Linked DNA regions of Macaca fascicularis. The protein of the gene in region 2 interacts with the protein of the main gene of each other region in a pairwise test. Links are inferred from orthologs where the notes say so. Each region holds a gene or a part of one and is shown on either strand. Other genes may lie near its edges.

Region 1 (3,751 bases), on a different chromosome or scaffold from region 2:
AGAAGTGCAATCACAGCCCACTACAGCCTTGAACTCCTGGGCTCAAGGGATTCTCCCACCTTAGCCTCCAAGTAGCTAGGACTACATGTGTTCACTACCATACCTAGCTAATTTTTTAAAGTGTTTTTTTTTTTTTTTTTTTTTTTTTTTTTTTTTTTTTAAGAGGCAGAGGTATTGCTACAGTGCCCGGCCTGGTTTCCAACTCTTGGTCTCAGGTGATCCTCCTGCCTTGGCCTCCCAAATCACTGAGATTACAGGTGTGGGCCACCACACCCAACCTCAGATTTGTAATTATTTTCCTTGCTACTTCTAATTTTTTTAAAAGCATAAGTCAGTGGGCAGCAGGTTTTGGAGGTCAGACCCGTAAGAATTATTTCTTGCAGCTTCCAGATCCCCATCCTAATGATGAACACCTGTGCTAGGCTTAGTCAAATTATACTGTTTCCCAGTAAACTCTGGTCTTCAAGGAAGCTGAAACCAGAGGAGCTCTAATAATACATGTTTTTAACCTGTGGTTTGGGCTTGAGCCAATGGCATCAAACAGAGAGCAGCTAAAATGAGCTGTTGCAAGTGAAGGTTTATCTAAAAAATAGTTAATGAAAAACTTTGAGAGCTGCAGGGATGCATGACAGATTGGCAACTCACTTTGAGAAAGAGACTATTCCCAGTTCCAAGTCCCAGACACACAGCCTGCGGGTAAGTCATCAGAAATAAAATAAGTGGGGAAACGGGACAGGGGAAAAACAGTACCCTCTAACATCTATCAACCATGCAAGCCAAAGCTAGTGATGAAGTTAAATAGACAACAATCCTTAGTGTTTATTTTCTGTTCAGTGAGGTTGCCAACCTGAGCTTCCAGAGGACTAACACCACAATTAAAGGCAGGCAGGTTCAGGGGAACACAATGAAAGATGGACCAAAACAGAGTATTTTGATGTTTAGATTGAAATCTACTATTGGCTAGGAAAGCGGTGTTTATTGTGTCTAAAGACAATAATACTATTATACATCCAGCAATTATGGTCACAAGGCCACTCAAACAAGTAGTGGTTTGTTTTGGTTGGAGAGAAAGAACCAAGGCTTTGCTTGCAGTATTGCTGGGTATATGGGTTTGGTTTTGTTGCAGTTTAGTGGGCTGTGGGCTTTTGCAGCCACCCTCAAAAGGATGAAGAAAATTTTAAACAGCTTCATGGTTGGTAACAGGAGTCCCCTGATCCCTTCAGGAAAACCAAAGATACTCAGGCCAGTAATTTAATCAGGAGAAGATTTATCAGCTGGAGTGACAGTTTTAAAGGCACAAACTCTCTGTGTGATTCTAAGCAGATATCGAGTCCAGTTGAGAAGCCAGTCAAACGGATAATTCTCGGAGTTCTCTACCAGCTATTCTGAGTCTGAGATCTGCCTTCTTATTCTGGCAAATCAGAACCAATGTTATTCTCCCAGATTTGGGGCATCATATCTATTATGGGTCATGGCGCCCCCTGAAGTCCAAGGCCTTTCATTTCCATCATCTACCTGGATTCCTGCCTGGTTATCTACTCTTCTGTTGAATGCAACCTATTCTACAATCCAGAGCTCAAACTATTCCACAACCCAGAGCTCTCTGGCCTCTCAGAGAAAAGGTAAGATTTCTAAACCTTTCCACAGATTCACATAAGTCAGGATATACCTTTAGATAGAAAATGTTAAGCTTCAGGCCACCCTCCCTGCTGAGTTCTAATGAGAATTCAGAGGCCAGCTTTCAGTGCATTCTGAGGAAGGAAAACGGTTCTCCTCTGTTGGCCCAGGAAACACACTATCAAATGCAAGCACCAATACTGAGGCTGATGAGTTGTATGATTCCAGGCAAACTGTAAATCCTTCCTGGGGTTCTCTATGCATTTCCCTTTAAAGTAGAAAAGAAAATAAATGCCTCCCTATTCTGCATGCTATTTGGGCAATAAAGTGCTACTGATTTGTGAACTTCAATAATAATAAAATAACATTGGAAAAACCTGCACCACCACCCCTACCCTCACCCCCGAAAAGACTTCAAACGTTTGATGAAGCTAGGGCTTCAAGCAAATTCGAAAAAAAAAAAAATCAATAATTTGAGCTCCTCCTAATTTTCCTGACAATCAATTTTCTCATAGGATGCTTATTTTCAGCTTTACAATCTGCCAACTAGCTCCTCCAAACCTCATTTGTGACCCCTTTACAGGGGAAACCTAGAGGTTAATTAACAGATGATTGTTAGTTCCTGAAAGTCGCCCTGTGATTTAGTCCCGAGGTGGCCTAAGCATCTCCATCCCTTGTTAGGAAAAGACTCTCTGGTTCAATATTAATTTCTGTAGCTTTTACAATTCTCATTGGGATTAACATTTAATCAACAGAGCAGTTTCCTTTTTATTTCATTATAGAAAAGTTTCAATAAAATAGAATGGTGCATTATACTGTAATGAATGACAAACACTGGTAAATTTTCATTTAAAAATCAGTAAGTTGAAACAAGCAGTTGTTTCATAACGGTTGGGTCATCTCAATTTAATGAACAGTAACTAAAAACACATTAAATAAATGCCTGAAATGGAAAGGGAGGCATAGTTATTGTCCCACGAGGCTGTGTGATCCTCTAAGAGAGGGCCTATGTTGTGTTAATTTTTCCTTAGCTGATGATTGGAGCAATACCAAGCAGTTACTCAATAAATACTTGCCAGATTGAATATATTAATAAATGCTTCTGTGTATAGAAAGGTATTTTCTTTTAGGAAAAAAGTTACTTCATTTTGCTAATTGCAGCCACCTCTCAATGAATGGGGATGATCACAAGGGATTATATATATATCTTCTTTTCCTTTTATAAATGTTTATAGTAGCGATTCTCAAACTTGTGCTTGCATGAAAATTATGTGGGGAGTGTGTAAAACAGTGATTTCTGGGCCCCACTATTAGAATTTCTGATTTAATATTCTGGGGAAGAGCTCCCAAAATGCATACTTCTAAATTCCCAGGAGATCTGATGCTGCATTCTGGAGATCACACTGAGAATCACTGGCTTATAGCATCTATCTGTATGGCATTGGTGGCAATTTCCATTTATTCATGTACAGGTGAAATCTTACCTAGAGCAGGTCCTCACACACAGAAAATACCTGGGGAACATTCGCTGACTGCACAGATAATTCCACCCTCATTGTGGGGAACGTAACACTATATTGCTGCTGTGTGCATAAATGGCTTTCATTCCTAGGCTCCCATCAGCTATGAAAGAGAGCATAGCAGTTTTCTGTTGGCCTTTTCTTTCATGTGATAAATTGCCATTAGAGTGCTACCCTAGGCATATATTAATTTCCTTGGGGATCTAACTTTGACTCTTCTGATGCCGCTCACAGTTGCTATAGCTGTGTGTATGACTCTTTGGCCCTTTCACACAGGGTGGCTGTCACTGAAGTAATAATAGAAGCCATTGCCATTAGAGCCTGCCAGTGGTATGGACTCTGTGACTCTACCTTTGAATTTGTATATTTTATTCCAATTAAACCTCTACATCTGTATTTGCTTTCATCTAGCAAACTGTTAATTGTAGGTGGCTTTGGATATATCTGATTGTGCTGGCCATGGAATATCTGTCCATCTCATGTAAAAAATGTGGGAAAATATTTTATTAGGAAAAGAATGGCCAAAATGGTTATGCGTTTTGATTGGGGTGTTTGATTTGTTTGCTTTTAAGTATTAGGGCTGGGCTTCAAGGCCTCATCAGCAGCTCCTCACC
Region 2 (3,619 bases):
AAGAGCGGGGATTTGTATTGCGGTGTCTGCAGCCCCCACCACAAACTGTGGACAATTGGAAATCTCTGTGCTCACCCCCATCTCGCTGTGTGGTCTGAAGCAAGTCACTGCGTCTCGCTGGGCCTCCCCAGCTCTAAAACAGCAGGGCTGGTCCACATATCCTCTGAAGACCCTTTCAAGGCAGATTCTTATTTTCTTTTTTTTCCTTTTTGAGATGGAGTCTCCCTCTGTCACCCAGGCTGGAGTGCAGTGGCTGGATCTCAGCTCACGGCAACCTCCACCTCCCAGGTTCAAGCTATTCTCCTGCCTCAGCCTTCCAAGTAGCTGGGACTACAGGCGCCCGCCACCACGCCCAGATAATTTTTGTATTTTCAGTAGAGACAGGGTTTTGCCCTGTTGGCCAGGCTGGCCTCGAACCCCTGACCTCAGGTCTTCAACCCATCTTGGCCTCCTGAAGTGCTGGGATTACAGGTGTGAGCCACTGCACCTGGCCTCAAGGCAGATTCTAAAAGACAGCCCTGACTTATTTTTCCAGAGACAAGCCAAACGGCATTTGTGGATTTATTTATTTATTTACGCATAAGCTTTGTTTTATCTTCAAATAGAAAAAGACATTTTACTCCTCCATCTTCTGAGGTATGGCCAAGCACTCTTCTTTGAGTGGGAGTGTGCTATTGGGAGTGTCTCCTCATTTTTCTTGCACAAACCATTCCCATAAGGCAGGCATTTATTTTTAAGCAAACATTTATTGCATGCCAGATGGTGTTCATACATTATCTCATTTAACTCCCTCAACAGCCATGTGACTCAGGCATTGATATTAGTAATAATAGTTCATGTTTGCCTAGCACTCACAACTTGCCTAGCACTGGGCTGACAGTTTTACATGCGCCATCTCATCTAGTCTTCACAACCACCCTCAAAAGAACCATTATTTCATGGCTCGCACCTGTAATTTCCAGCACTTTGGGAGGCCGAGGTGGAAGGAACACTTGAACCCATGAGTTCAAGACCTGCCTGGGCAACATAGCAATAGCCCGTCTCCACAAAAAGAAAACAAACAGGCCGGGCGCGGTGGCTCAAGCCTGTAATCCCAGCACTTTGGGAGGCCGAGATGGGCGGATCACGAGGTCAGGAGATCGAGACCATCCTGGCTAACACGGTGAAACCCCGTCTCTACTAAAAATACAAAAAACTTAGCCGGGCAAGGTGGCGGGCGCCTGTAGTCCCAGCTACTCGGGAGGCTGAGGCAGGAGAATGGCGTGAACCCGGGAGGCGGAGCTTGCAGTGATCTGAGATCCGGCCACTGCACTCCAGCCTGGGTGACAGAGCGAGACTCCGTCTCAAAAAAAATAAATAAATAAAATAAAAAGAAAACAAACAAACAAAAAACACATTATTTCCCCTACATACCAGATGAGAAAGTTGAGGCACAGACAGGTTGAGCTCCTAAAGCCAGTAAGTAGTAGAGAGGAGATTTCAGACTTCCATGGGTTAAGTCCAGAGTTGCTGCTCTTTTTGTAGTTTTCTTTTTTTAATTTATTTATTTATTTATTTTTGAAACAGAGTCTCACTCTATCATCCAGGCTGGAGTACAGTGACATGATCTCGGCTCACTACATCTGTCTCCCGGGTTCAAGTGATTCTCGTGTTGCAGCCTCCCGAGTAGCTGGGATTACAGGCACATGCCACTGTCCCCAGTTAATTTTGGTATTACCAGTAGAGACAGAGTTTTGCCATGTTGCCCAGGCTGGTGGTCTCAAACTCCTGGCCTCAAGCGATCCTCCCGCCTCAGCCTCCCAAAGTGCTGGGATTACAGGCGTGACCCACCACTCCTGGCCCAAGTTGCTGCTCTTAACTGTGAAGTTCTCCGGCCTCCCACAGTTTATTATTATCCCTGTTTCCCCGGTAGGGAAACTGAGGCCACAGAAGTGAAGCCCCTTGCTCAGGATCAGCAACGGTGACGCGACAGAGGCTCAGAGCCCTGCCGCTGGGTAACGGCAGCAGCTTGCCCAGCTGGTGGTGCAGGTTGGCAGATCTATTGAGTCCCAGGGGCCCTGGCTGGAGGAGATGTGCAGCCTCGCCTTCAGAGCCTGTTTTCCTTAACCAAGTGCCTCCCGCTGCCCCCTCCCCGGGGGTCTCCGGAACCATCCTCAGCTACATTGTGCAGGACCTGATGGAGACTGACCTGTACAAGTTGCTGAAAAGCCAGCAACTGAGCAATGACCACATCTGCTACTTCCTCTACCAGATCCTGCGGGGCCTCAAGTACATCCACTCCGCTAATGTGCTCCACCGGGATCTAAAGCCCTCCAACCTGCTCATCAACACCACCTGCGACCTTAAGGTCAGAGGGTTGGGCACCTGTCCCCTCCTCCCCCAGGGTCTGGGGCTTCCAGGTGACCAGTAGAAGCCTTGGGCAGGAGAACATTGCAAGCAAGGGGAACAGTGGAGGCAAAGACAAGGGGGCGTGACTGCTTAAGCTGCAGAGGCCTTGAGCACCGAGCTTAGCAGCTTGGTCTGATTCCAGATTTGCGATTTCGGCCTGGCCCGGATTGCCGATCCTGAGCATGACCACACCGGCTTCCTGACGGAGTATGTGGCTACACGCTGGTACCGGGCCCCAGAGATCATGCTGAACTCCAAGGTAGGAGGGGCTGCCCACTCCTGAAGGGAAGGGACCAGGTCCCAGGAAGCCCTGGAGCTACCTCCGAGCCAGATACCGACCCCCATGACACAGGAATTCCACCCTCTGGGCCTTGGGCTCTGCAAGGAAGCTGAGCATTGAGCCCTCCAGGCCTCTGCCTTCTGCCTGGTGTTGGATCTAACTTGGAGATGGTGGCTTGGTGTAGAAACAGGACCCTGTTGAGGCTGGCCCAGGAGCCCACCACTTCCTCCTCTCTCCCAGGGCTATACCAAGTCCATCGACATCTGGTCTGTGGGCTGCATTCTGGCTGAGATGCTCTCTAACCGGCCCATCTTCCCTGGCAAGCACTACCTGGATCAGCTCAACCACATTCTGGGTGAGGGAGGCCCGGCTGGCTGAGTGGGGGATGATTACCTTCTCCAAGGTGAGATTTCTCAAGAGTCCAAGTCAGGGATACCACCACGTGTGGGGCGCCTCCAGCATCTCATGGTATCTCAATGAGGTATAGATATTATCCCCATTGGATAGATGGGAAAAGCAAGTCTAAGTCCCACACCTAAGGAGGCACCAGACCTAGGATTTGAGCCTCGGTCTGCCTGAATCCAGCCCCCTTGCTCTGCACCACCATGCTAATGACTAGGAGGTAACTGAGGGATTGGCATGGGTTGCTGGGCTGGGGGTCTTGTTCTTGCCTTGTTGCCTGTTCTGTTCCCAGAAAGAAGGAGGTGATCATTTACCAAGTCACCTCCTTATCCACAGGCATCCTGGGCTCCCCATCCCAGGAGGACCTGAATTGTATCATCAACATGAAGGCCCGAAACTACCTACAGTCTCTGCCCTCCAAGACCAAGGTGGCTTGGGCCAAGCTTTTCCCCAAGTCAGACTCCAAAGGTTTGAGAGACATGAGGACGGGTGTGGGATAAACCCTGGGTGCCATGGAGGGTACGGGAGCCCAGCAGCAGCTGGAGGAGA

What was found. The genes of interacting proteins can lie anywhere in the genome.
Region 1: the proteins of MAPK3 (region 2) and DCC interact in a two-hybrid assay, tested with the Homo sapiens proteins (2 studies listed by BioGRID). The link is inferred for Macaca fascicularis from reciprocal best matches to the Homo sapiens genes MAPK3 and DCC.

Annotation. Positions count from the first base shown.
Region 1 is NC_088392.1:37,292,729-37,296,479, reverse strand, and holds the start of DCC (netrin receptor DCC), read left to right. Parts: upstream 1-1,090; 5' UTR 1,091-1,471; coding exon 1,472-1,622; intron 1,623-3,751. UniProt on the Homo sapiens protein: Receptor for netrin required for axon guidance. Mediates axon attraction of neuronal growth cones in the developing nervous system upon ligand binding. Its association with UNC5 proteins may trigger signaling for axon repulsion.
Region 2 is NC_088394.1:27,975,601-27,979,219, forward strand, and holds part of MAPK3 (mitogen-activated protein kinase 3), read left to right. Parts: intron 1-2,157; coding exon 2,158-2,347; intron 2,348-2,530; coding exon 2,531-2,647; intron 2,648-2,908; coding exon 2,909-3,023; intron 3,024-3,406; coding exon 3,407-3,538; intron 3,539-3,619.